4 linked regions of the Stegostoma tigrinum genome follow. The protein of the gene in region 3 purifies or fractionates together with the protein of the main gene of each other region. This does not show direct contact. Links are inferred from orthologs where the notes say so. Each region holds a gene or a part of one and is shown on either strand. Other genes may lie near its edges.

Region 1 (7,804 bases), on a different chromosome or scaffold from region 3:
AGAAGAATGAGAGGACACCTTTTTGAAACACAATATTCTTAGGGAACGTCACATGGTGCATGAGAGGCTGTTTCTCCTTGTGGGAAGAGTGTGGGACTAGGGGGCATAATCTCAGAGTAATGGGATCCCCACTTAAGACAGATGATGAGAAACTATTTCTCTCAAAGGATAGTGAACCAATGGAATTCTTTACTGCAGAGGACAATGGAGGCTATGTTGTTAACTATGTTCATGGCTGAGATAGGCAGATTTCTCTTCAGTAAGGAAGTCAAGAATTGTGAGGATAATGTGAGAAAATAGAGCTAAGTGGGGTTGATTATCACATCAGGGATTTATGTCGAGGAAGAAGACCAAATGTTCTAAATAGCCTGTTGCTGATCCTACATCTTCTGAAGTTGAACCTCATGGTTTTTATGTCTAAGTTCAAGTTGTATCAAGTTTGGCCGGGTTATTCTTGCAGCAAAACCAAGTGAGTTTTCTCATTAAATTGTACTAAACTTAACATGTTAATTGGCATTTCAACCATCACAGCAAAAATCCTGTCAGAATCCATCCCATCTCACCACGGGCTGTTCCATGGAGATCCTCCCTAAGACTAGCATCCCTTGTGGTTGCTCCATTTTCCAAAGCTATCCTGTCAGTCATTGAAGTCAGGAAAAATGTCAGAGAGAGGGAGGCTGGCCACCCTTCTGAGAGAAACCTGGGGGTCTTTGTAGATTGAATGGTCAACAGAACAGCAGTCCTATTCCCAGGTGACCAGCCGAAGAGGCCACACCACCACACCATGCCAGAATGGTCAGAGATCACCAGATAGTCAATGCTTTCTCCAAAATAAGCAGGACTGGCTACAGTGCTGCCGGAAGGTGAACAATCTCCTCTGCTCTGACAGGGTAAGTGTGGTGCTTTGTTCTTCACTACCTTACACTTAGCAGACACCCTTGACTGAGGACTGCTGCACAGCATGGCCACCTGACTGGTTGTGAGACTGTGTCAGCTGTCAATTCAAGGCACTGTACAGTAAGACAAGGAATGCCAGTAGGGACCAGGGTGATTGCACGTGAAGGAAGCAAGGGAGCAGCCATGGACGATAGTTTAGTCTACAGCACGGAATGGGTTCCTGTCTCTCAGAGGTACCTGCATCCAATATAGGTGTACAGTGCTGCCAGTGTGTCCTGGTAGATAAACCTGCATTTGAGAATGCCAGGATGGTGGCAATGGCACCCTGAAAGTCAAGATCTACTGTACACGATGGAAGGGTACATAAGGGTGGTATTGGTGAATTGTGTCCTAAGGTACAGTTTTTCTATGGGCAAAACATAGGTCTTTTGCAGCAAGTAATGAACTGAAGCCATCTAAACCTACTCTGGTCGACTTTTCATGACAGCTAGTTTGTCTGGTAAGATTGCAACTCATTGCTATTGATAAATGATTTAAATAATTTCACCATGTTGTTTGACAAGACTGTACAAGATGCAGTGACCTTAACATTGAGACGGCCCTCAAAATCTCACCCGATTCCAAGAAAGATCTCATCACAGCCTGATAAAATTCAACCAAATTTGGCATTAAAACAGTAATGGAACATTTAGAAGGTCACAGGCAGGTCACATTATTAGAGTTCTGCATTTGTGCACCAGGGCTGATTCCCAAGAATGAAAGAGTTCTATCACAGAATGGTGTAGTACTTGGGCCTTTAGTTATTGGCAACTTTATTGAAACACGTGAAGATTCTAAGGAGATAGTAGGAACTGCAGATGCTGGAGAATCTGAGATAACAAGGTGTAGAGCTGGATGATCACAGCAGGCCAAGCAGCATCAGAGGAACGGGAAGACTGACGTTTCAGAAAATTTTCTGAGGGATCTAGGCCGGAAACGTCAGCCTTGCTGCTTGGCTCGCTGTGTTCATCCAGCTCTACACCGTGTTATCTAAGATTCTAAGGAGGCTTGACCGGGTAAATGCTCAGTGGAAGAATCTGGAAAGGGCGGGGGGGGGGGGATTGTGAAGTTTACTCATGCTTGGATTTTTCTATGGTATAGAGCAATGGAGGCCGGGGCACTAGTATACTGAAGGCTAAATTAGACAAATTAGTAATCTACAAGGGAATAATGTGACATAGGCAAGAATGTGAAATTGAGCATCCAGATCAACAAGATATTACCGAATGGCAGAACTGGTTCGGGTAACCAAAAAAATATCGCAGCCCTGTTCGTCTTTCTAACGGCTCTCATTTGCATGTTCTGCTAATACTCACTTCTCGGCTCTGTTGTGAGCGATGTCACTTTGATAAAACGACCAAGAGTGATCAAAGGCGATGATGGCCTGATGTCTTCTACACGGAAATGAGTTAGCACTACAGTAATAAGTTATAACAGTTGCTTTTTACGCTAGATTTCCAGACTTATTTGTTTCATGAAATATTCATATCTCCGCATGAAGATTGCGCAGTGTGTTCTGCTACATCTTTCAATCATTCCGTAATACTCACAAATTCCGAGTGGTGGACAAGATATTGTCTAGCTCCAAAAGCACAGCGGTTCTTTGTTCATTCAGTTGTGACTCTGAGTCCATATCCCTCTAGTCCCGATAATAGCCTAATTCCCAGATACTGACTCCGGTCTCTGCAACACCTTCTACAGGCCCATTCACTGACAACAAGCGCGCCACTACCCTGGATGCGTGATGGGAATTGTAGTCCTACAACTCTCGCTTCATCCTCGAGAACTACAATTCCCATCATACCGTGCAAACCATCTCCAATACTCACCATGGTAGCAACCGGCCAGTCTGCCAAGCGACGGTGATGAGCAGTTGCTCTGACGAATTAAGAGCGGAGGAATTGGTTTATTCCAATCGGGGTGAGGGAGAAGACGGAATTTTTTGTTGCTGGGCCACTTGGAACGCTAAGTGCGCGCTAAATATTGCATGCTACTGTTGGCAATGGCGGGACGGATAGAGGGATATTGAGTTGTTGTGTAAGCCTTCTGGGTGCCCGCGTTGTGGGATGGTTAGTACCGCCCCTCTGCTTTGTCCTGTTGGTTGGGATTCCCACCGGTCACCTGGTGCTGTGTGTCGGTACGGACACCCGCCCACCTTGAATTAGATGTTTATTCAGCCAGGCTGATCATAGAGGCGCAGGAGTTTGAGGTGTGCAATCACACAAAACAGATAGGAATCCTGCCTGCGCTTGGAGATCATGGCAATTCCAGAGCAAGGCAGTAAATCGGGATTCGTCATCCTGATAGCTCACATCAATATGGCTCTATATTCCACTTGCTTCTGGATCCAGACTGGGGTCGTGCCTGTGAGTAGTAATCTGCCTTTTACTGATAAATGATAAGTTAAAATGTAGTGGAGTGCCCTCGATTGCGTAATGTTCGGAGCTTGTCATATTAAGAACGACAATTTAAAGAAGTCTGCTGAATCACGAAACGTTAGAATTGCCTTGTGTGGTCTCATTCTAAACTTCCTTATCTTTAATGTTTCATGATTGAACGGACTGTCTAAGCTGCAAAGAATTTAATAACGTTTTTAAACCTGGGCACTGATCGTTGCACGAGCAGGAAGTACCGCGAAGTTTATTGAGTAATGCATCAAGAAGTGATTGAAATTTATGTAATAGTGTAGTAAACCAAGCTGTTCGACCTATCGTTCTTGAACCGGCTCTTTGAAGCAACTAGCTAATTGAACACACTCCTCCCCACTCCTGTTTTATTTCTTACCACACAGTTTTCCTCTTCCCCCCCCTAACTGCACCTTGTAAATTATTATTCATCGGCACATTATTCCAAACAAGGCATTCCAGGTCGTAACAATTGTTACACAACGTGGGAGGAAATTATTGCTAAAAATGCTGGAGATCACAGCCGGTCAGTCAGCATCAGAACGTTAGTTTGCTATCTCGCCACGAATTCTGCCTGACCGGCTGTAATCTCCAGAATTTTTTTTTTGTTTTCAGTAACAATTGTTAACTTGGTTGAAAAGAAATCTCAGTTCTATGAGAAAATTAAAAAGAAAATTAGCGGATGTTGAAACAAAAACTTGCTGAACAAACTCGGGTCTTTTTTTCTCCACAGATGTTGCCAGACCTACTGAGTTTGCCCGGCAATTTCGTTGCTTCCTTCAGTGCTCCTTTTGGTTCTTTTGCCGATTGCCATGCTCTCTTTGAGAATTTCGCTGTCATTTCTGAGACTTATTTTATTGTAAGTTTTTACACTGCCAACGTTAGGTCGATGGGCTCTCGCATTGCAGGTCTAGTGATAATGGGAACTGCGGATGCTGGAGAATCCAAAATAACAAAGTGTGGAGCTGGATGAACACAGCAGGTCCAGCAGCACAAAAGCTGAGATGCTGCTTGGCCTGCTGTGTTCATCCAGCTCCACGCATTGCAGGTCTGTTCCCTTCCCATGTTTTGATTAATGACGTAATCTTTTTAACACCCCAGTCTTCTAGCACGTCCTCCATACCCAAGGAAAATTGGAATTTCTGGTGAGGATCTCTGCAAGTTATATTTTGTTTCTTTCAGTTGCCTGCAGGAGCGAAAGTAGCCCATTCAGCCTCTCGAGCCAGCTCTGTCATGTAATAAGATCACAGTTGATTTGACTGCAATCTTAAATCCACTTTCCAGCCTATCCCTGATAGTCTTTCACCCTCTTGCCAGCAAGACTCTACCTACCCCGGCTTAAAAATCTTTATGGACTCTGCTTCCATTGCCTCTCCAAAGACTGGTGACTCTGGGGGGGAAAGATGCTTCATCTGTTTTAACTGACTGACCACCTATGTTTAAACAGTGACTCCTAGTTTTAGATTCTCCCACCAGAAGAAACATCTCTACAACTACTCTGTCAAGTCCTTTCAAGATCTTGTATGTTTTGATCAAGTTGCCTCTGTCTTGTAAACTCCACTGGATAAAAGCCTAGCCAGCCAATATTTTCTCATTAGACAACCTGCTCATTCCAGGCACTGTACTGCAACGGGTCTAGTAACGGCTGCTCTCTGGTTTGTACCAGAATGTGCTGTTCTAAGAATTTATCCCCTAAAATATTCTATGACCTGTTCTTGGCTTCGTCTGCCTCTGTGACTTTTCTAGTCTGTATCTAGATTAAAATTTTCTGTGATTGATGCTGTGCTTTTTGGACATAGTTGTCATAATTGATGTAGTTAATATTAGGAGGCCTGTACAACAATCACGCAAGTGACATCTTGCCTTTACCATCCTTCATCTCTTGCCAAACCATTTTCACATCTTAAAATTGGTTATCCCTGTCTATTACCATCATTAGCTAACAGAGTCATTAGCTAACAGAGATACCAATCTTGCAGCCATCTCTCTGGCTGTCAGATTGTATCTATTTTGTGTGCATTTGCAGTTCAATTTCTGTTTATTTATTGAAAATTGTGTGCATTAGATAGTGTGTTTAGTTTTATGCATGTTTCTAATCTCCAGCCTTATCTGTTAATTCACTGTTAGATTTGTAGTCTCTACCATTTCTTGAAGAAGCCTATTTATCCTTTCTAAAACTGATATCATTTTTGTGTCGTGAGTTCATTGATCTAGATATATCCAAATTTGATCCCTTCCTCATCATTTTTTTAAGCACAAATTACTCTCTACTTCCCTAGTTACATGGCTCAAATAACATCAACCCAGTATGGTTCAGGTGGTTACCCTGAAGTGCTGATACTACTTTCCCCAATATTGATGCCAGCTTCCCATAGACTAGAACCCACTTGTCTGACATCACTCTGAGCCATGCATTCATCTTCTAATCTGATTTGTCTTGTACCACTTTGTATGAGGTTAAGGTAATTCAGATAATCAGATCCCTAAACAAAATGACTTTTCTGAAACAAACATAAACCAAACTAACTGGAGAAACTTAGCAGGTTTGGCAGCATCTGCTGAGAGAGAGGCGCAGTTAATGTTTCAAGTCCAATGACCATTGATCAGACTAATTTGTTCTAAAGAAGGGTCACTGGTTCTGAAAAGTTGACTGCTTTTTTCCTCCACAGATGCTGCCTGACCTCCTGAGTTTCTCCAGCTATTTCTGTTGTTCACACCAAGATGACTTTTCTACTTCGAGTACTGTCGACCTTTTAGTACTTCTGCTCTATCTACTTCTCTACTACCTCCACCTTTGACGTCAATAGTACTATTTGTGATGACAGATGGAAAGGCTTCAGAAATCAGAATAAGGGCCCTGAACTGAAATGTCAACTGTCCTGCTGTTGTGATGCAGCCTGGCCTGCTGAGTTCCTCCAGCTCCACAGTGTTATCTCTGACTCCAGTATCTGCAGTTTTTCTGAAGAAGAGTCTGGGCCTGAAATGTCAGCCTTCCTGCTCCTCTAATGCTGCTTGGCCTGCTGCGTTCATCCAGCTCTACACCTTGTTATCTCTACTTTAAAGGTAGCCTGTGTATCATAAAGCCAGGGAGGTGATGGCCTAGTGGCGTTATCGCTGGATTGTTAATCCAGAGACCCAGAAAACATTCCAAATCCTGCCACCGCAGATGGTGGAATTTGAAGTCAATAAATATCTGAAATTAAGAATCTAATGATGACAATGGATCCATTGTAAATTGTCAGGAAAAGCCCTTCTGGTAATGTCCTTTAGGGAAGGAAACTGCCTTACCTGGTCGGGCCTACATGTGACTCCTGGCTCACAGCAAAGTGGTTGATGCTTAACTGCCGTCTGGGCAATAAATGCTGCCTAGCCAATGACACCTTCATCTCGTGAATGAATAAAGAAAAAAAACACCTCTTCAATTGGCAGAGAAGAATGAGAGATGAAGAAAGACACCTTAGTAACTGCATAAACAGAACAGAGAGAGATTCTGTGATTTCAAATATGACACTGGAGACCTTATTACTAGAGACTGAACTGTGAGATATTAAGGAGACAGTGAAAACAGTCCTGAAGAAGGTCACTGGACTCAAAACATTAACTTTTTCTCTCTACAGATACTGAAGACCTGCTGAGTTTCTTCAGTATTTTCTGTTCTTGTAACCTCTGAAGCAGTGAGAGTGGACAGACATGAAAGTTAATGCCAAGAGTTTGACACCAAGCACTTATATACAGTTCTGAAAATCAAATAACTTGCGTACATGGTAAAAGGTAGTGGGGCAAAAATATTTTTACTCAACTGTTCAGACACATAATATGGCTTCAAGGCAGGTCGGACTTGAAACTGGACCTTTGGCCTCAGTGCATCTTCAGATGCCATATTCAATTAATAGTACTGCCAAACTCTCTGCCTATGCAATGCATAACATAATAATTACAAAGTTAACAGACAGGCATTCATGTGTTTCCTCTCACTACAATGCACCCACACCTCAGCTTCTAATATACTGTCAGCTATGAAAAGCATGTTACCTAAACACAGACACTTTGCTGTCTCTTACAGAGAAAGCTGACCCCTGATAGACAGCAATAGCAGAAAAACCAGTAGAGATGGATATGTGATAATGGGAACTGCAGATGCTGGAGAATCCAAGATAACAAAGTGTGGAGCTGGACGAACACAGCAGGCCAAGCAGCATCTCGGGAGCACAAAAGCTGATGTTTCGGGCCTAGACCCTTCATCAGAGAAGGGTGATGAAGGGTCTAGGCCCGAAACATCAGCTTTTGTACTCTGAAATGCTGCTTGGCCTGCTGTGTTCATCCAGCTCCACACTTTGTTATCTAGAGATGGATATGGTTTCATGTGATGATCCTCATGGGGGGAGACTGAGGATAATTGAAACATCCATCACTGAGTCCCTAGCCAGTGGCATTACTGTCATAGTTTGTTTGATTCCTCATGA
Region 2 (7,311 bases), on a different chromosome or scaffold from region 3:
CCACCAATACCTTTACTGAAGTAAGGTTCTAATAATAATAGACCACAAACCCCTGGTAGGTCTAACAAACAGGACAAGGCAGTGCCGCCCAAAGCTTCAGGCTGAATTCGGCATTAGGCTCTAATACTAAGTGCATATAATTACAAGTTGGAACACTGACCAGGAGGCGAAGTTGCAAATGCGGGTGCATTGAGCTGCCTCCCACTGGCAGATATATTAGCCTGTTTTAATACCAAACTGTTCCTGTTCTATTTCATTATAAGTCTACCCCTCAGGCAACTACAGTGATAGCTCCAGCAGAGTTGCAAATGGGAAAATGACTCCATACCAGGTTAAATTTGATTCACCCGGATCCGGGAGGGAGGGTGAAATGACATCAGGAATGTTAGCGCTGGACACATGACTCTGCTAAGCGAGAGAGGAAGTTTACCTCAGGTGATGAAGTTTGGAGTAGGAGATACAGGATTGGTCCTGCACTGGTAAGCGGCATGGTCGATGCAAGGTCAGGTCCAGTGATGTGTAAACTTTGGGCAGGTGCAACAGTCCTGAACAAACATATGGGGACTGTATGAAAGCTGCAAACTCAAAAACGGAGCAAGATGTGCCTGCCTCCTGGGAACAGGCAGAAAGGCTGGAGGAACCCACAGATTCTCCCTGTCCATCAAGCATTGAAGATTCTTCGGAATCTGAGATGGATAAGGTGGATATCACCACCTCAAAGTCTTTGCTGCCTCAATAGGAGAGTAAATTTCTTCCAAGGTTCTCCAGGCCCAAGAGGCGTGTTACTGTGCATCACATGCCACCTGTATCTAAGACAGAGTCAGTGGAACCTGACCTGGCGCTAAAATGCCTCAGGAGAAGCTACAAAAAAATGAACTGGCCTATGTCCTTAGATTCAGAGGGGGAGGGATACAGTGATCCCAACAAGAGGTGCTCTAATTTTACAAATGCAGGTGCAATCCTCCACCTAGTGGTGGCAGTGCCACAAATACAGCCTTTGCACCCAAGATGGTTTTATTTTAAAATCAACCGGTTTGGATGTTTTATGTTAACAAAGTGTGAAGCTGAATGAACACAGCAGGCCAAGCAGCATCTCAGGAGCACAAACGCTGACGTTTCGGGCCTAGACCCTTCTGAAACGTCAGCTTTTGTGCTCCTGAGATGCTGCTTGGCCTGCTGTGTTCATCCAGCTTCACACTTTGTTATCTTGGATTCTCCAGCATTTGCAGTTCCCACTATCTCTGGATGTTTTATGAGACGCCTTTTGTGGTAGGTGTTGAAATCGGACCTTCTGGGCATAGTTATACGGATACTACCAATGTACCACAAGAGACCCTCTAAGATAGTTTATGTTATGCTTGCCTTGTATTCAGACTACTCAAGCAAATGACCGGGAGCACTGGCAACATAAGTGCTACCAGCTTTGCACTGCTGATAACAGCATCCATCCCAATACATTAAAGAGATATTAGGGATTATTACAGGTTCATGAAAATGTTTCATAAGGCTCTTTTATTTGAGCTTGATTCTCCCTTTCATTACACAAAACATCTATGTTGGGGTATATAACAAATTGTGGACATAATGGTTTATTAAAATTAAGATTTTCCATTAATCCATTGAAGTCTATTAATACTGCATGCTTTATTTGGACCAAACAATAATTGTGACATAATTGTTAATTGTCCTGAATAAGGCATTAATACTTCAGCTATTCTGTGTTAATGCCAATTGTTAAATAAACCAATTAAAGACAGGCCATAATGCAAAAAATAAACTGCCCAAGATTATTTAGAAAATTTGAAAAAAACAATAAGATAGTAAGAGTGAATATCTTTTCAAATGTTTACTTTGTTCTTCTGAAATCTTGAAATCAATCCTGTGCAAAGTCCTGACATGTTGTTGAGAAAGCTGAAATGCATGTTCACATTACAAACCAGTTAAGACCTGCAAGAACACAAAGTGGAATTTCAGCTGAAGAACTGAAGATGATGGGGCAGAAATTGTCGTGTCAGTGTCGATTGGATTCAGAGATAGTAGGAACTGCAGATGCTGGAGAATCTGAGATAACAAGGTGTAGAACTGGATGAACACAGCAGGCCAAGCAGCATCAGAGGAGCGGGAAAGCTGACGTTTCGGGTCAACACCCTTCTTCAGAAATGGGGGAGTGGAAGGGAGTTCTGAAATAAATAGGGAGAGAGGGGGAGGTGGATAGAAAATGGATAGAGGAGAAAATAGGTGGAGAGGAGACAGACAGGTCAAAGATGCAGGGATGGAGGCAGTAAAGGTGACTGTCGATGGGGAGTTAGGGAGGGGAAAGGGCAGTCCAGGGTGGACGGACAGGTCAAGGGGTCAGGATGAGATTAGTAGGTAGGAGATGGGGGTGGGGCTTGAGCTGGGAGGAGGGGATAGGTGCGAGGAAGAACAGGTTAGGGAGGTGGGGACAAGCTGGGCTGGTTTTGGGATGCGATAGGAGAAGGGGAGATTTTGAAGCTTGTGAAGTCCACATTGATACCATTGAGCTTCAGGGGTTCCAAGTGGAATATGAGTTGCTCTTCCTGCAATTGTTGTGGCATTGCAGGAGGCCCAGGATGGACATGTGGTTTGAGAAGTGGGAGGGGGAAGAGTTGAAATGGTTTGTGACTGGCAGGTGCAGTTGTTTAGTGTGAACCGAGCGTAGGTGCTCTGCAAAGCAGTCCCTAAGCCTCTGTTTGGTTTTCCTGTTGTAGAGGAGGCCACAACGGGTACAGGAGATGCAATATACCACATTGGCAGATGTGCAGGTGAACATCTGCTTGATGTGGGAAGTCTGCTTGGGGCCTGGGACGGGGGGTGAGGGGGGAGGTGTAGCACTTCTTGCGGTTGCAGAGAATAGTGCCGTGTGTGGTGGGGGTGGAGGGGAGTGTGTAGAGGACAAGGGAGTCACGGAGAGAGTGGTCTCTCCGGAAAGCAGGTAAGGGTAGGGAGGGAAAAATGTCTTTGGTGATGGGGTCGGATTGCAAATGGCGGATGTGTTGGAGGATGATGCCTGAAACGTCAGCCTTCCTGATCCTCTAATACTGCTTGGCCTGCTGTGTTCATCCAGCTCTACACCTTGTTATCCTTGATTGGATTCAATGTTGGTGCAGCATGCTGACCAACAGTATACTGACATTCTCCATACATTGATGTAGGGTCAGACATGATCAGCCACTCTAGGATGGACAAGACCTATGGAAGATCAAAAGCTAGTCAGGTTGTGCAAACAGCAACACCAGTAAAGTGGTAGGTTCTTTGAAAGGCCCTAACAGAGAACACAATCTATTTTGATTTTTTGCAGCAAATGGGTCACAAGTTTTCATTTGGACATATTCAGGTGATTTGTCTAGAATTTTCCTATCATTAATGCCCGCCACAATCTGGCACTCTCAATAATTTAACAACTGCGGTGTCGAGATTGGATTAAAGCAATATCCCAAGCATTTTATTTATTACTGTCACATGGACCTGATTACAGTGAAAAGATTTGTTTTGCAAGCAGTACAGGCAGATCGTAACAAAGAAGGACAAATGAATCATAGGGCGCTTAGAGTTACAACTGCTCAAAGGTGCACAAAAGTAAGGACAACATTAGATTTGAAATTAAAGAGGTCCATTCAGCAGTCAAATACCAGCAGGGCTGAAGATATTCTTTAATCTGCTGTGTGTGTTCGGGGTTCTGTATCTTCTGCCTGAAGGAAGAGCTTAGCTCTGAGGAGCTTACAATATAGGGACAATCAACAGGGAAAATAGGCACGTCTATGAAGTTTGTCGGTATCAGAATTGGGAGGAAGAGCTGGTTTAAGTAAAGATCGGTGAGTTACAAGTGCAGGCTGTCATGTGGAATCGTGGTGTTGTGGCAGTAACAGTGACCTGGCAGAAGGAAGGCCAGGACTGTGTGTTAAATATCCTGGATACAGGCTGTTGAGGTGTTACATTAAAGGAGTTTTTCAACCATTATGCTGCAATATTCTTCTTCCTGAGAAGTGTATTCGTTATTTATTCAATATTACCATATTACCTTCAAATAAAAGACTTAGTGCAATAATACTTTGCCTGGAGAGAACTTTGAACGAGTGGTTTCCATGGGGGGAAGATAATAAAACAAAAAAAAACTTTATTTCCATTCAATAGATTAAATAGTTTGGTTTACAATGGGGTTAAGGCGCTGAATAGAACATCACCTTCATTCCTTGTAGAAACGAATTGACTTGGAAGGTCTGCATGAGCTGAGAGTGAGGGCAGTGTCAGGGGCGGAACCATAAGCTCAGGGACCGGTTTGTGCTGGTGCGGCTGGGGACGGTTACATTGACGGACCGGAAGGGGTCCGGTATGTATTTGGTGTTGCTCCAGCAGTCTGCCGGTTGGTATCGCAGGGAATTAAAGCTCAGGGCTGAATGAACGAAGGTGAATGGGGTTCAAATTCTCTCTCTCTCTCTCTCTCTCTCTCTCTCTGTCTGTCTGTCTGTCTGTCTGTCTGTCTGTGGGTGAGGGGGGAAAGAATGTGAGAGGTGGGTGTGAGGGAGGGGAGGCGCCTAACATCAACTGCATTAGACACAGCTTTCACTAAACCTTTACAGCATAATAGACTGTAATAAAGGTCATAAATAGTGACTTTAAGAAAAACACAAGAAATTCATAACAATTCGTACAGCTCCAGATTATCTTCTTGTTACTAGATTGAGGGATTTAGTTTTAATTGCAAACTCAGATTCAGCATAAATGTCTGAGCTAATCTATTCTTTCCTTTTCCCAGACTCTAGCCAGTGATGATAGTGGGAGTATCCAGTCAGTTGTTGGACATGTTCAGTCTTATTCATCCTAACAATATGGCCAAAATATTTTAATTTGTTCCCTTAAACCCCCTGCTTTAGTTTGAATTTTTAAATTACTGTATTTCTTTTAAATTGCTGTTATTTTTAGGGCTTGCCACATTGTGAATAATATCGTGAGTCAGGTCTTATTTGATAGCGTTAGAAATGCAGGTCCATTTAAGGGGCAAACTGAAATAACTCTAGAGTACATTGAGACAGTAGGTGTTCTTTGTCTTTAAGAGCTTAGTTCTTTTAGCCTCTCGGTCTTTCTCTACCAGTCTCACCTTTGGTGGTCCACATTGAATGAATAACTGGAAACAAGGATAACTTAGGGATGGTGGATATTGGGTGGAAGGTCTCACAGGTGATTTGGTGGTGGGAAAGAAAAACATTCAGTTGTCTGTGATAATTCCAGATATTAAAAGAAGAGCTTGGATTCTTATTACGGGTCCTGTGTTCAAAGTGTAGTGTCTGTATCTCTGGGCTAGGTGGCTTGGGTTCAAGGCTCAACTGCCTGAGATGTGTCATTAACATATCTGAACAGATTGATTTTTTTTCAACAAAAAGCTTGGTTTTTCATACCTTATGGAGAAAAGGCAGAAAAGTGGAGCTGAGAATTATCAGATCAGCCATGGTCTTGTTGAATGATGGTGCAGACTTGATGGGCTGAATGGCCTACTTCTCCTTCATGTTATCATCTTAAAGTGGATAGTTGGTTTCTGGATAAAGAACTGTTGGTGTTAAACTATAGGTTTGTAATTAAATGCTTGCACAACTATGATAGGTTTTTGCTACCTAATTCAACATCAGGATATTTTTCTGTGGAATTTTATTGCCTTTGGCTTGGCAAAATCTACTACTTGTATGCCCTGTAGCACTTCATAAAGTCTTTGATAATTTGGTTGTGTGTTTTAGCAGTTGCGTTTATGCTTTCTTAATAATATCAATGAATGTATGTATTCTGTTTTCATGGTTGCAATTTACCTGACCTTTCTCAGCAAACTGCCTGAGAGGAATAAACATGCAAGTGACTATGGTCTTTCCTAGTTAGTTAATTGCATAAGTACTCTAAGCAAGTAGCTAGCCATTTGTTGAAATGATTTTGGCATCAGTGAGCAGTAGCAATTTTGATAGAACTTTTAACCAAAGTATAATGTTTTTTTCACAGTCTATGTAGTTCATTTATCTTCACAAAAATGTCGGTTTTAATTTATTGATGATCTTCATTCTTGTGTAAAAGAACAGATTGAAGCATGTCAGATTGCTTAATGCCTCTGCCTGTAAAGTTATTCAGAATGTTGTCCCTAGGAATTGAATCACATCTTACACGCACATGCAGCCTTTGTGCAGTTATGCTGCAGCATCTTAGTGCTGATAGAGCTATGGATTCAAAACAACTTGTTAAGGAATTTGAAATGGGATCAGCTTTGGCCTAACCAAAGGCATTGTTTGATTCATTAAGTTTTCAAAGGATGCTTTAAAGATGAAAGGTGGGAATAATTGAGACTGATTTAGAAAAAGAATCTGAATGGCAAAGGAGTTTCAGAGTAAACAAAAGCCATCACTGATCTACTGTGAGGAGTGTGGGGAATGAACAAGAATCTAGGTAGGGAGCAAATGATGTGGGCAAGGATATTGAATTAGTGGATATTTCCCAAGCAGGCTGGAGGAAAGCTTTGGAAGAATTTGATAAAGGGACAAAATCCATTAGGTAAGATAGAAAGTGGCAGGGATCTGGTGAGGTTAAAATGGATAAGATGCTATTTATGTGGCGCAGGAGCTAATTTATACTAGATTAATTTTGTGAAGAGAGGCCAGCTGAAAGAAATTCATTTTTGAGGTAACCATGTGTGAATGAAGGTTGTGGAACAAAATGGGTAGGATTACTTTAAAGTGTGGAATTGAGAATTATGAAAATAAAAAATTGCCTAAAGCAAAATTAATGCCAGCTCATAATAGTGGTAACTTAAGGTGCTATGTAACAAGCAATATTGAATGCCGTTAATGGCCGTAGTTCTCTATAATGTAAGATCTTAGTAGTTTACGTAAATTGGATGTTGATGTGATGTTTAACTAAGTTCTTCTCTGTCTGTTTTGGAATACAGGCCCAAAATATGGCTACTGTGGAAATGGATCAAGAACTGGCGAAAAAACTGTTCTTTGAAGGAGGCACGCTTATAATACTTGGTGTTCCTGAGGGCACAGAATTTGGCATTGATTATAATTGTTGGCAAGTGGGCCCCAAATTTAAAGGAGTGAAGATGATCCCACCGGGAATCCATTTTATGCATTGCAGCCCTGTGAACAGCAGAGATATTCGGATAACAGGACCACGCACGGGTTGTTTCTTTCATATAAAACAGAAGGAAGTTCTAGTGAAGCGATGGGACAAGAAGGAAGAAGAAATAGTTTCAGTTGCAGTTTCGGAAGAAGAAAGAGAGCAGATAAGAGAGAATCTGACTGAACTGGACAAATGTTT
Region 3 (6,884 bases):
ATTCTATACCTTGCCACTAAGTTTGGGAACTCTTTGGTGATTTGTTGAATGAGGTAGACAATCAACCATTCGTCATCCACATTATCACCAAAGTTTGTGACACCACCAACGTGAGCCGGAACATCTCCTAAAAAGAAAAGATTTGCATTAGCCTCTTAAAATTTAAGCAATGGTACATTAAATCGGCTTAGATCAGCAGGGTTTAGACTCAAAACAAAAACAACTCCTGATAAATCAGAGTACAAGTCATAGCAAAGGCATAATCACAAGAATTTACAAATGACAGAACATTGTTCAATTCACTGTCACACAAGCTTAGTTCAGGAGCTCAGATTATAAGTTTCTTTCATCTCTGTACCGTTGTATATTTGTCTAAAATGAGGCAGAATTTTCATCTCTCTTTGACACCACAGTGTGGAGGCCATTCAGCCATTGTCTACGCTGAACCATCAAAGAGCATCGCACCCAAATGCAGCTCTCCAACCTATCCCTGTAACTCCTCATTTATCAAAGCTAAGCCACCTAGCCTCTACATTCCTAGACATTACAGGGCAATTTAGCATGGCAAATCTACTCAACTTGTACATCTTTGGACTGCAAGTGGCAACCAAAGCATCTGGAGCAATGAGACACATACAGATACAGGGAGAATGTGCAAATTTCACACAGACATTTGTTCAAAGATGGAATCGAACCTGGGTCCCTGGCACTGTGAGGCAACAGTGTTAACCACTAGCCACCATGCCATCCTAACTTACTTGTCATCACTTACTTTAGGGCTTTTGTGGGATAGTGGTAACATTCCTATCTCTGGGTGAAAAAGTCCAGGTTCAAGACCCACTTGCACCAGACGGGTCATAACATGTCTGAAAGGTTAATTAAAAACATCTGTAATCCCATGGATAGCACCAGCTTCCTTGTGCAGTAACTGCAGCAAGACAACCATCACATGTTCAAAGGCTTGACACGCAGATTGTTGCCACAACAGGGGTCGTTCTCATTGAGTGATGTCTCTACAGTGTCCCCGCCCATCACCAAACCTCCACACACTGTTCACTTGACAGCTTAGATGGAAAATTCTGAAGGAATTTCTATTGTAGTTAACTTCCTATGGGAATCTTTAGAAAATGTTTTTGAGATGTAAAAGCTGATTATTACTTATCCCTCTAAGTTGGTGCCTCCTTGAACACCTGCAGTCCATATTGTGCAGTTCTCTCACAGTGCTGTTAGGGAAGAAGCTCTACAATCTTGACTTAACGGTACTGTAATTCAGAAAACTTGCAAATGGCAATGTTCCCAAGTCATCTTAGTCCCAGAGGATAGTAAGGTGCTCTCTCATCTGAGGGAGAGAGCTGTTGGTGACATTAACCTGAGGGTCACCATGCCTCAGATAAGATTGCCCAACCACTGGGACCTAATGACAACCTCAGCTGAAACTGAAAATGTACCTACATTGTTGGCTCACTTTGCATCATAAACTACTGGTTTGCTAAACTAACTGACTCCCTACCATTCATCACTGCGCTGGTTCCAGATAGTAGAGATACTGGGTTTGGAAGGTTCCATTGGGAGAGCACAGATGGATTGATACTGTCCATCTTGTAGATGATTCACATTGGTACTGCTGTCACTGTGGATAGAGGGAGTAAGTGTTGAAGGCAGTGAATGAGCGTACAGACCCCACCTATACTCTCTCCACCTATCTTCTTTTCTCTCCATCTTCAGTCCACCTCCCCCTCTCTCCCTATTTATTCCAGTTCCCTCTCCCCATCCCCCTCTCTGATGAAGGGTCTAGGCCCGAAACGTCAGCTTTTGTGCTCCTGAGATGCTGCTTGGCCTGCTGTGTTCATCCAGCCTCACATTTTATTATCTTGGAATTCTCCAGCATCTGCAGTTCCCATTATCTCTCTCTCCTCTACAGACATTCATGTTGGTTAGCTCTGTTGGACAAATGGCTGTTTGCTATCTTGAGCGATGCCAACAGCACAGCTTCAATTCCCTAACTAGCTGAGTTTACAACGAAGGAGTCTTCATATCAATGTCTCCCTTTGCATGGGGCATGGTGACCTCAGGTTAAACCAACTACAGCACAAATGCAGCTCCGTCCACATTTCACATCAGCTCCATTGAAGAGTCATCGAGACTCGAATCGTTAGCTGCTCTCTCCATGGATGCTGCCTGAGCCACTGCGATCTCCAACATCTGTTGTCTTCAAACCACTACCACCCTATGGTCCCGTAGGTCTATGGCAACTTTATTTTATAATAAATATAATTCACATTTAAAGATAGTAAGAACTGTTGATGCTGGAGTCTGAGATAACAGTGTGGAGTTGGAGGAGCACAGCAGGCCAGGCAGCAGAGGAGCAGGAAAGCTGACGTTTCGGAACGGGATCCTTCTTCAGAAAAAGACCCTTTTTCCGAGTCCCCTGCCTGGCCTGCTGTGCTCCTCCAACTACACACTGCGCTAATTCACATTTCTGTGGCTCTGCATCCTAGCACGTGTATGGAATTGTACCATTAAGCGTGACCTAATTACATTTATCACCATTTGATATCAGATTTAATGATATAACTTCTAACAATGATATAACGAGAAGTGCTCAGGCACAGAGCCACAAACTGGCTTGCACGGGAAGAAAGGCATGCGTGGATACCAGAGGGGGCCGTGTACTCACCCCGGGCCGGCGTGTATTGCAGCCTGAAGGCCTCATTGTGCCAGATGTAACCGGCACAGAGCGGGGCCAGGCTGCCGACGATCTTCTCCAACTGCTGCTCCAACCGGGCCCGGGGATCGGGATCAGACTGAAGAGCCTCGCCGCCAATCTCATAAAGCCTGTAGCCGACTGTGTCCTGCGGCCAGTCACGACGCCGCTCATCTACCAGCGACTCCATGGCCCGTCAGCCCTCACTTAATGCCTTCTCCCACCCGGGACCGGGTCTGTCACCTAACGGCTTTCCCCCCGACCTGGAACGTCACTGAACGGCTTCCCCCACCGACCGGGTCCGTCACTTAATGGCTTCCTCTAGAATGCGATCACGTGGTCCGTCTCAGTGACGCCACTCTGTCACTGACGTCGCGATGTTGTTCAAATTAAGTAACGTGATGTTTTAGTCTTAAACCTTGCTTAAAAATAAAACCAAAGTTTTACCGGGTTGTTATCAGTTGCCGACTACGGTAGAGAGGACAGTTCTGTTGAGGAAGAAGGTGGGGATGTCTGAGCTGTGTGTGGGAGATGGAACAACCGCCAAGTGAACCTCACCTCATCCTAACAACATCATGTCGGGATGTGGTCTCTGTTTCTGTCCAGTATGCAACATTGTGCAGCAAAGTTCTCGACCAACCTACACCATCTTGTGCTTATCAATTTACTCTGGGCAATTTACAGGCAATAGAAATATTAACCAATTGAACATTTTCTTGATGGAGCGCATGTCATAGGTGGAAGGAGTATTTGTAATGTCAGGACTGCAGACCCTGTCCACTAGTTATTTGCATTTTATTTATGGACTAGGTGTGGCCACTGGACCTTTATTAATTTTAATAGTTATTTTATTGTACTTGTGTAAAGTAATTTCCTTAAGTTTTACCTGCAGCTATGTATCTACTTTTCCTATGTATAATCTCTGAACTCTGCTCTTGCCTCTTAAAGCATAGAGCAAAATTTAGACCCTCATGCATTTGTTAAACATGGAGGCTAAAAGGTCTGTTGTTCTTATGGCATTTGTCACGGTGATATGTAGCCAGGGAACATCTTCAGGTAAGAAATTCATCAGAGTTCTAAATGGTGAATTAGAATGCAGTGATTTGATTGTAATGTTCAAATTGCAACTCTGGCCTGTCAACCAGAAATTCTCCTGGATAAAAGCCAAAGACATGAACATAATCACAAATCCTTTGTAGACAACCATTACTATGTTTATATTTTAGCTGGGTACCTGGATTGAGGTAGAGACAAACTGCAGATGCTGGAAAAACACAGCAAGCCAGGCAGCATCTGGAGGAAAAGAGAAGTCAACATTTTCGTCATTATCCTTCTTCAGGATTGAATGTGGGAGTGGGGGTAGCTGCAGATAAAGGTGGGGGGAGGTGAGAGGGTAGCGGAATGGTGGTGATAGGTGGACACTGGTAGTAGGCATGGTATGGTTGGTTGATGGGAGTGCTGAATCCGGTTGGTAGCTGGAAGGGAGAGTTGGCATGTGGAATAGAGAGGAGGTAGTGGGGCTGGAAAGGAGGCTTGGGGATGGGTTGGAAGGTTATTTGAAATTAGAGAATGAATATTAAGTCTTCCGGGCTGAAGGGTGGCCGGGTGGAAGATAAGGTGTTGTTCCTCTAATCTGAGCTCTGATTCACTGCGACACTGGAGGAGGCTGAGGATGGACATGTCGGAGGGGAAGAGGGTGGATTGAAATGGGCGGTTCCTGGGAAGTTAGGCTTGCCGTTTCAGGCCAGGCAGAGATGCTCGGTGAAACAGTCACCGAGTCTATGTTTGGTTTCACCAAAATTGGGAGCACCAGATGCGGTAGACTAGGCTGGAGGTGATACAGGTGAAAACTGTCTCACCTGGAAGGATTGTTTAGGGCCCTGGATAGAGACGAGGGATGTGGTATGTGGGCAGGGTGTTGCACCTTTTATGGTTACAGGGAAAGATACGGGGGTCGGCGGGGAGTGGGTGGTGTTGGAGTGGTTGGTGGGGAATGTGGCATGAACTAAGAAGTGGCAAAGGGAATGATCTTTGCAGAAGGCAGAGAGGGTTTGGGAGTGGAAAGTGTCTACCTAATGCCACCATACCCCTATCACCATCCCCCTTATCTGCACCTCCTCCAACCCCCATATCCAATCCTGAAGAAGGGTAATACCCAAAACGTTGACTTCTCCATTCCTCCACATGCTGCCTGGCTTGCTGTGTTCTTCCAGCCTCCTGTTAGTCTATCTGGATTAAGGTGGATATGCCTGTTATGTGGCATTGAACTTGAACATCAAAATGTTGCAAGGTGTGCTGTTTAGTTTCTACAATGCTGAAAGCTAATGTTTATAAGATTGCTTAGAAAAAAACATGTTGGCTTAGTCAACTGAGAAGAGAATATATTACTTAGAATATATGTGTGTGAAAATCTTTGTTTTGCAGAGAGACAAGCACTTAAGTAATTGAACCATGTTAGTGTGTGATCACTCCACATTCAGGCGGATCATGACATGCTCACATATTTTGTGATAATTGAGAAGAACCCAAATCCACTGCTGCCAGTTGTTTATTGATGAGTTACTGTCTTTATACCTTGCAGGGATTGAGCATGATTTGGTGTTGAGTCAAGTCTCCGGTGGTATGCTGCTGATAGGCGATTAGAACCTAGTTGAATTTTTGTGAAATGTGACTTAAACATTAACCTGCCATAATGCAAAAAAAAAGTTTACCTCGTTAGGGTAACAGGACACCAATAAATTATCAGGGACTGATTCTTGTGCGGGCAGCATTGGCAATCCTCCAGGAGAAATGGTAAAAATTCATTAGAAGCACACTGACAAAGACAGAGTGTCTAATAAAACTTCTCTCAAAGAAGAAAAATCAGCAGGAGTGATGAATGAACTACATGTAAGGAATAATAGCCACAGATCAAAATAAATAGTTAGTTGGAGGACGATAAATGGGCTATGATAGTTGATTTTTACTTTTTGAATCTGTAATTTAAACATACTTTACATTTCCCTTCTTGCGTAAAGGTTGTCTGTGAAATGCATTGTTTTGTAGCAAAGAACAGTACAAATGTTGTCATTGCTACTCTCAAATTTGCTGATAAGCACACTGTTGAAGTAGGTGGTAAAAATAATTGTTGCATTAATTAGCAGCTGAAACAGTGCATCCAGCTTATTGACAACCAGAAACAAAAAGTATTTATATTTATATAGCACATTTCCATAATCTCAGGATACCTCGAATTATCTATTGAGATGCTTGCACACTAAGTAGCTGCTTTGAAAACATTATGCCCCAATATTTTATCTTTAACATCGACCATGGATAGTTTTAGAACATAAATAACAGCACCTTCGACCCCTCAGGTTTGTGTTTTACAGCCACTTTTGAGGTGTAGACTTGCTCAGTAGCTATTTCACTTGTGCATATAAACTGGCGCCTATTTAAACTATGGTATGGTTGAGTTAGAAGATATGACCTTATACTTTTTCATGCTGTAAATAAGTGTTAGATTGAGTAAATAAAGATTAGATCATGTGTTATCTTTTGTCAAGTAGCTTTTTTAAAAATCGAACAGCAATTGAACTACATTGGACTGTTTAATGCGGCTTGAGCTTCTTATCTCAATATTAAAGGGATAGTGCTTACCATCTGAGCAAAGCCTGACATTTAGGTTTGAGAATGTTATTGACACTAAGGGCTGAAACAGCTCCCTTCTGCCTCACAATGGGTTTGGTTACCATTATTGCTGGTGTAAGAGATTTTCGAATGGATTTGTAATGGGCTATTTAAAGGGACAATGCATTTAAATAATTTGCGTCTGTATAAGCTAAAAGTTGTTTTATATAATATAGTTGTTATTGGAGTTCAGAGAATTGTTGGAACAGAGAAAGGGACGCGATTCCTTGGGTTAAGAAATCATAGTATGGAAGAGGTAGAGTCAGCATTGAGGGAGACAGGAATAATGGTCGCAATAATAATTATACGTGTTTGAAATGTTATGGCTCAAATGTATTTACTGTCTCCATTTTAAGCCACTAGTAATTGTATCAAAGAGTCAATTCTGCCTGATGCAGCAGATTCTGTTCGCCGCCTTGTGCAATATTTTGAAGGTTGCAGATTTTTAAGTTCGAAAGATTTCAAGCAGACTGTGAACTAATGGTCACCCTTGTAAACAGTGCATAACAAA
Region 4 (7,385 bases), on a different chromosome or scaffold from region 3:
TTAGCTTATCCTGATGCTCATTCACCCAGGACAGAAGGAACGCACACTTCTTCTGAGCCCGGTAATGATCAGGGTCCTTCTTATGTCGAGATCGCTTTGCTTTTCCTAGTGCCCGATGAAGGTGGGAGATTGCAGCCAAAGTGTAATGACCGTCCAATGTCCCGTTTCCTCCAGTTAACAGGACAGATGTGTCCTTGATTGTATTCACTGGCTCAAAGGGATTAGAAAAATACAAGCTGTTCCGCACTGCTCCAACCCCAGACTGCACAGCCTCTGCAGTAGACACAAAAACACGATTGCCCTTCAGGGCCTCAGAAACTGTCATTGTAGCTTCGATAAACTCGTCCCTCATTGGTCCTGATAAGTCCCCATTCACCAGCTTCATGGAGAATGCATATGCATACAGAATGTTCACCACACTGTATTGGATCAGGGGAGAGGCCTTTGAACACAAACTGAGCAAAGGAACAATGTTACTACAGATTGCAGGAATAGAATCATCATGTTCCCAGAATCTGTCTGTTGCTAGCTGTTCTGTGAATGCATCCATCTCTGAATTATTCTCACTCCCAGTTCCCGCAACATCAACCATAGGCTGTGCTTTATTTATCTTCTCACATCTTTGATCTTCTTCCAGCCCCTTTTGAAGAAAATAAAACAATTTTTTTTATAAATAGTACTGGTAAGTGCTCACTAGCTCTCAGTACTGACTCACTAATACCATTCTCACTGTTGAGGATAAGTTCATGGTTTCAAGTTCACGCCAGAGAGTTTAGTAACATTCCTCCATTGTTTTGCTGTGTGCAACATTTTCAATCAAGTGTACAGGCCTTTTAATGGCCTTATTCAGGATCAAGAATCATTGAATCCTACAGTGTGGAAGCCAGCCACTCAGCCCATTGAATCCACACCAACCCTCTGAACAGCATCCTGCTCAGACCAACACCCCCATCCTATCCCTGTAATCCCCATGGCTAATCCATGTCGCCTGCACATCCCTGGACACTATGGGTAATTTAGCATGGTCAATCCACCTTACCTGCACATCTTTGGACTATGGGAGGAAACAGGAGCGCCACGAGAAAACCCACACAGAAATGGGGAGAACGCGTAAGCTCTACTCAGTTGCTTGAGGGTGGATTTGAACCTGGGTCCCTGGTGCTTAAGGCAGCAGTGCTAATCGCTAAGCCTTGTGCCACCCCAAGGGAGAATTGAACTTGAAAGTAATCTCTAGGCCAACAGCGAGGTGTACTGAAGAGGTGCTCCACTGTCAACGGGGCAAAACTAAGGGAGTGCTGCACAGTCAGAGGGGTATTACTGCGACTGTGTTGCAATGTCCAAGTTACAATAGTAGGGGAGTGATGCTCTTGTGGAGGGTCACTACTGAGGGAGCACTGCACTGTCAGAGGTGCAGTACTGAGGGAATATTACAATTTCAGAGACAAACTAAAGCTTCTGCTCTCCCTAATGGATGTAATACATCATATTCCAGAGAAAGAGTACTTTCTTGGTATCCTGCCATCTCCTGGAGGCCACTTAGCATTAGAATGAGACTCTGACAGTGTGGTCTCAATTCCAGCATGTTGAAGTTACCGTCAAGGGATCTCCTTCTCAATCTCTCCCAGACCTTCAGGTTAAACCACCATCACTTATGTCGTTCTAATGAAAGCAGCATAATGGTCTGGTATGATTTTAGCAACTTTATCTTTACCATTCCTGATAGGTATGGGCATGAAATGTCAATAGATTTCTCAGTAACTTACATTTCTTGCATCTTCATCTTGCAGATAAGAGCCACAAGAGCCACCTTTTTATTCATACATGGGCATGTGGGCATCATTGGCAAAGCCAGCACTCATTGCCCATCCCTAATAGCCCAGAAGTCAGTTAAAGATCACATGTAGGCCCAACTGGGTAAGGACAGTAGCTTCCAGATGTGTTTTTCCTGACAAGTGACACTGTCATGAGGAGGGGTCACCGGACCCAAAAACGTTAACTCTGTTTTCTCCTTCACGGATGCTGCCAGACCTGCTGAGCTTTTCCAGCAACTTTGTTTTTGTTTTTGTTCCACAGTCATCATTGGATTCACTACCTGCCAGGAACCTGGGTTCTCCGAATGTTACCTGGGTCTCTGGATAAATAAAAAACTGGTGATAACAGCACTAGGCCAACTAAATACAAGTTCACTGAGATCAGGTAAGTCAGCCTGACTTCCGGACTCCTTCCTGTGTTTTCTCAAGGAACATGCCCTAATTTTTTTTTTAAAAAATGACACCAATTTATCCTGAAATTCTTAAAACTCAAAATTACTTTAGTTACTGTCCCCAGGGTCCACCTAAGAGTGAAAACCAGGGGGCAATTCCCCCAGGGACAGGTCCCAGCTCCTATCCCCACTGTAGGGGATGGGTGAGAAATGGGAGCTGTAGATTGACCTCCCAGACACTTGCGGCGCTGTTTCTCACCGAGGGCACCAGCTCCTGGACGGGGCCTGGGGGGCGCCGATCCCACCACGGCCTCCACTCCTCGACCCAAGCCGCGGCCTGGCCGCTCTCCAGGAGCCGCTGGAAGTCGCGTCGCTCCTCCTCGCTCAGGGAGTTCCAGAGCCGGCTGGCTGTGCTGCCAGGCTGCGGGTCGTCCGGCTCCAGCTGCCCCGGTTCCCAGGCCTCGGTCTGCCGCAGCCGCCTCAGGCTCTCCCGCAGGTCCATCCGACCCTCGGCGCCTCCCGCCCGCCGGCTGTCCTCCCGCAGCTCGCCCAGCACCGCCTCCCGGTAGAAAGACTCGGCGCACGCCCGGTGCTTGCGGCCGCGGTAACAGGGCAGTGAGCAAAATGGCACATTGCAACGGGGGCAGGTGTAGCGGGCGGCGGCCCCGCTCCCCGAGCACAGGCCACAAGCCTCGGCCTGGCGTACCGGGCCCGCCAGTGACATCGCGATGGGTACCGGCGCTGCCGTAAAGCAGCGCTGCTCCTTTGCGGCAGTAATGCTCCCAGTCTCGGAATAGGGGACTTCCAACTTCACGTCAGTGCCGTAATCCGAAAAAGGGTGGCGATGGGGGAACAGTTACCCTTTGATACTGTGGCACTCCGACTCCCTTGGATAGAAAATACAACAGGTCATGTTGAATGACAGATAACTACCAAATAGAAAGCGCTGGATAAATTCAGCAGGTTTGCCAGCATCTGTGGAGAATAAAAGTGTTAACACTTTATGACCAGCGACCCTTCAATAGAATTCCATAGTTTATTTTTGTCCTATTTTGAATCAATTCCTAAACTTTGCTTGAATTTTAACCAAAGCTTTATCTCCAGTGGTCAATCTTAACAGACTTAACATGATTTAAAACAAACAATTTCAGATTCCCAGAGAAACTCAGAAGGTTGACAGACTCTAGGGCAAGAAAACAATTAATATTTTGCGTCAGTGATAATGGGAACTGCAGATGCTGGAGAACCCAAGATAACAAAGTGTGAGGCTGGATGAACACAGCAGGCCAAGCAGCATCTCTGGAGCACAAAAGCTGACGTTTTGGGCCTAGACCCTTCATCAGAGACGGGGATGGGGTGAGGGTTCTGGGATAAATAGGGAGAGAGGGGGAGGCGGACCGAAGATGGAGAGAAAAGAAGATAGCTGGAGAGGAGAGTATAGGTGGGGAGGTAGGGAGGGGATAGGTCAGTCCAGGGAAGACGGACAGGTCAAGGAGGTGGGATGAGGTTAGTAGGTAGGGGATGGAGGTGCGGCTTGGGGTGGGAGGAAGGGATGGGCGAGAGGAAGAACAGGTTAGGGAGGCAGAGACAGGTTGGACTGGTTTTAGGATGCAGTGGGTGGAGGGGAAGAGCTGGGCTGGTTTTGGGATGCGGTGGGGGAAGGGGAGATTTTGAAGCTGGTGAAGTCCAGCAGGAACAGCAACTCATATTCCGCTTGGGAACCCTGCAGCCCAATGGTATCAATGTGGACTTCACCAGCTTCAAAATCTCCCCTTCCCCCACCGCATCCCTAAACCAGCCCAGTTCGTCCCCTCCCCCCACTGCACCACACAACCAACCCAGCTCTTCCCCTCCACCCACTGCATCCCAAAACCAGTCCAACCTGTCTCTGCGTCCCTAACCTGTTCTTCCTCTCGCCCATCCCTTCCTCCCACCCCAAGCGGCACCTCCATCCCCTACCTACTAACCTCATCCTCCCACCTTGACCTGTCCGTCTTCCATGGACTGACCTATCCCCTCCCTACCTCCCCACCTATACTCTCCTCTCCACCTATCTTCTTTTCTCTCCATCTTCGGTCCGCCTCCCCCTCTCTCCCTATTTATTCCAGAACCCTCACCCCATCCCCCTCTCTGATGAAGGGTCTAGGCCCGAAACGTCAGCTTTTGTGCTCCTGAGCCTGCTGTGTTCATCCAGCCTCACATTTTATCTTTAATTAATATTTTGCACTGTGAACAGTCTGAAAAAGGGTTGCTGTACTTGAAACGTTAGCTCAGTTTTCCTTTCTTGCTACAGCAATTTGTTTTTATCTGTCACTTTGTTAGAAGTCATAAGACACCATATTATATTTCAAAGGTTTATTTGAAATCACAAACTTGCAGTGCTGTTCCTTCATCGGGTGATGTGGAAGGAGCTGTAATCTAGCATCACAGCAGTACTGAAGTTCACATACCAGATTACTCATTTGTGTGAAACAACACAAGAATTAGGAGCAAGAGGCAATAGACCCTTGAGCCTGGTCTGCCATTCAATATGATCATAGCTGATTTCATCACAGCTTTAACTCCACTATTCTGCCTCCTCATCATAACCCTTCAACCCACTTCCACCATGTTGCAGCACATTTAAGACCATAACTCAATGCTTTAAAATACAAATCCTGTCACCTCTGGATCCTTTGCAACCCTGTTTCCTTTAGTTACTGAACTGCTTTCCACTCAAAATTAGTTAATTAGTTAAAATTAGTTAATTCCACTTCCTCCTATCAAAAACCATTCATGATTTTGAATATCGATATGAAAATACCACCAAGCCTTCTCTTTAAAGAAACCAACCCCTGCTTCTCTAAACAAAATAACTGCAGATGTTGTAAATTTGAAACTCAGCAGATCTGGCAGCTTCTGAGGAGAGAAAGCAGAGTTAACATTTTGATTCGATGGATGCCAGATGTGCTAGATTTCTCTGAACTTTCCATATAGTTAAGTCTATAATCGTTGGTAATGTTATCTCCTCTGCATGGTTGTGAAGGTCTTCACAGCCTTCCTAATATGCAATGCCTAGAGTTGGACATAGTATAAAATACTGAGTGAGATCTAGCTGGAGTAAAGGTTAATTCAAATTCCTTGTTCTCATTCCTTCCTGTATTAATAAATTTGAAGTTCTTTAAACATAATATGCCCTGTCACTTAAAGATTTGTGTACATACACACCAAGGGCTCTCTTCCTGTATCCTCTTAAAAATTGTGCTACTTATTTTAACTCTCCTCCCCCTCTGTACTAAACCTTATTGCTTCACCAACACAGTACATTGTGACACTTGGGATAAACCGTAACTCGCCCTGTGGTCTTCTGGGACTTTACCATTACATTGGGACTTTGATATGGTATATCACTTGCCCTGAAATACCAGTACCACTAACTTCTCTCCTATTATGACTTCTATGGAAAGAGTAGCTTCTTGAAGAGTGGCTACCTTGAAGGATTTTCTGTTTAATTTGAGGTATCCTGGTTCTATGCAGACTCTTTTGCCTGGTTTGTATGCAGATTTCATCCTGTCCATGGGCACACAGGAAATTTCTCATGGCAACAAAAATAGCTCCTCATTGCCCAACACTCACCTTCTCCACCTTATTGATTAATGTCCCACACTTCTCTCCAATCACTTCACCAACCTGGGTTCTGCATCAACAACAAACTTGACATGACACCAATGCAAAGCAGTTGATACTAATGTAGGAATGTACACTAGAAGCCATAATGTGTGTGTTTTGGACACACGGCTAAGCTTTTACTCAATGAACTTGGATTTCTGCACCTGGACTAATAACCCACAGAGACAAGTTTAAAGCCCATTATCCTTTCATAGTAGAGAGGGTCGAGATGAGGTCTTGGTTTAACGTCTCATCCAAAAGACAGCATATCTTAAGAGTGCGGCATTCCTACAGCACCAAGCTAACAACGCAGTATTCCCTCATTGTTACACTGAGGAGATGCTGGCATCACTGGCAAGGATTTGCTGCCACCCTTAATTGCTCCCAAGTGGCATGCAACACTATTTCAGTAGGCAGGTTAAGAGTCAATCATATTATTGTGGGCTTGAACAGAGAAGAAGCAGCAAGTGAACCCTTTAGGTTTTTCTGACAATGATAAATTTCACAAATACTGAAACTAGTTTCTATTTTCGTAAATTTAATCAGCCACTGTGATAAGATTTGAACCAGTGCCCACGGTATTAGCCTGTTCTTGTTTACTAGTTCAATTATGTGAAGTAACCATTTCCCTCATCACGGACAGTTTCAAAGTTTGGATTTAGTTGTTTAAATATCTGCTGTCTACAAAAAGTTACCACAAAGTGATCACGGATCACTTTTAAAACCCCACCAAATGTTCACAATGGACATTTAGGGAAAGACATCTGCTGTCCTTGCTCTGCCTGAGCCTGTGGGTAATTTGGAAATAGTTGTGGATTGAAGTCCCACTTCAGAGACGCTAGGGTAATAATGAGGGAGTGCTGCACTGTTAGCAAGGTGTTCTGGGAGCACTATAGTCTTTTGGACAAGATGTTAAACCAAGGTCCCATCTTTACTCCCTCCGCTAGATGTATAAATGTTCACTTCCACTATATAAAGATGAGCAAGGGACTGTTCTCTGGTGGCCTGGTCAATATTTATCTTTAAACTCACAATGCAAACAATTTACTATTTCATAGAAGATTCACTGACTGATACCTTGAATCATCAGCAGACATGGTGTCTTAAGGTGAAAGGGTGACTGGTCTATATACATTACAGTTTAGAAGAACAAGAGTTGATCTTAGTAAAATGTCCTGACAGAATGGATGCTGACAGAATGTTTTTCTTCATAGAAACAAAATAAGGAGCTTCCCATTATAGATGGAGATTAACAGCAACATTTTGAGGGTCAGCAATTTGTGCCAGTTGCTTCTCTAGTGTGATGGAGGTGGGGTCATGGATTACCTGTAAGGCCTGTAGATTCTTTACTCATGAGTGTTGACAATTGACAGGAATGTGGATTGGAGGCTAGAATCAGATCAACTATAATTATTAAAGGATATCACAGGCAAGAGTTTCGGATTATGGGGTGAATGGCCTAATCATACTCCTCATCCGTATGCTATTTGTGGGAGGTCTCTATGCAAAATTGATTGACAAGTTTCCTGAGTAA

What was found.
Region 1: the proteins of ecd (region 3) and tssc4 purify together in Homo sapiens (affinity purification with mass spectrometry; 3 studies listed by BioGRID and IntAct, counting the BioPlex papers as one, with this or other methods). This does not show direct contact. The link is inferred for Stegostoma tigrinum from reciprocal best matches to the Homo sapiens genes ECD and TSSC4.
Region 2: the proteins of ecd (region 3) and aar2 purify together in Homo sapiens (affinity purification with mass spectrometry; 3 studies listed by BioGRID and IntAct, counting the BioPlex papers as one, with this or other methods). This does not show direct contact. The link is inferred for Stegostoma tigrinum from reciprocal best matches to the Homo sapiens genes ECD and AAR2.
Region 4: the proteins of ecd (region 3) and znhit2 purify together in Homo sapiens (affinity purification with mass spectrometry; 3 studies listed by BioGRID and IntAct, counting the BioPlex papers as one, with this or other methods). This does not show direct contact. The link is inferred for Stegostoma tigrinum from reciprocal best matches to the Homo sapiens genes ECD and ZNHIT2.

What each region holds. Positions count from the first base shown.
Region 1 is NC_081370.1:15,500,943-15,508,746, reverse strand, and holds the start of tssc4 (U5 small nuclear ribonucleoprotein TSSC4), read right to left. Parts: upstream 3,003-7,804; 5' UTR 2,766-3,002; exon of another isoform or gene 2,742-2,765; intron 2,696-2,741; exon of another isoform or gene 2,487-2,695; intron 1-2,486. Other genes in the region: slc22a18 (solute carrier family 22 member 18), read left to right, coding at 3,195-3,302, 4,075-4,200. UniProt on the Homo sapiens protein: Protein associated with the U5 snRNP, during its maturation and its post-splicing recycling and which is required for spliceosomal tri-snRNP complex assembly in the nucleus.
Region 2 is NC_081372.1:22,483,179-22,490,489, reverse strand, and holds the start of aar2 (protein AAR2 homolog), read left to right. Parts: upstream 1-4,311; 5' UTR 4,312-4,425; intron 4,426-6,937; 5' UTR 6,938-6,946; coding exon 6,947-7,311. UniProt on the Homo sapiens protein: Component of the U5 snRNP complex that is required for spliceosome assembly and for pre-mRNA splicing.
Region 3 is NC_081390.1:21,632,314-21,639,197, reverse strand, and holds the start of ecd (protein ecdysoneless homolog), read right to left. Parts: upstream 3,015-6,884; 5' UTR 2,895-3,014; coding exon 2,678-2,894; intron 128-2,677; coding exon 10-127; intron 1-9. UniProt on the Homo sapiens protein: Regulator of p53/TP53 stability and function. Inhibits MDM2-mediated degradation of p53/TP53 possibly by cooperating in part with TXNIP. May be involved transcriptional regulation. In vitro has intrinsic transactivation activity enhanced by EP300.
Region 4 is NC_081366.1:12,222,278-12,229,662, forward strand, and holds the start of znhit2 (zinc finger HIT domain-containing protein 2), read right to left. Parts: upstream 3,022-7,385; 5' UTR 2,928-3,021; coding exon 2,463-2,927; intron 641-2,462; coding exon 1-640. UniProt on the Homo sapiens protein: May act as a bridging factor mediating the interaction between the R2TP/Prefoldin-like (R2TP/PFDL) complex and U5 small nuclear ribonucleoprotein (U5 snRNP).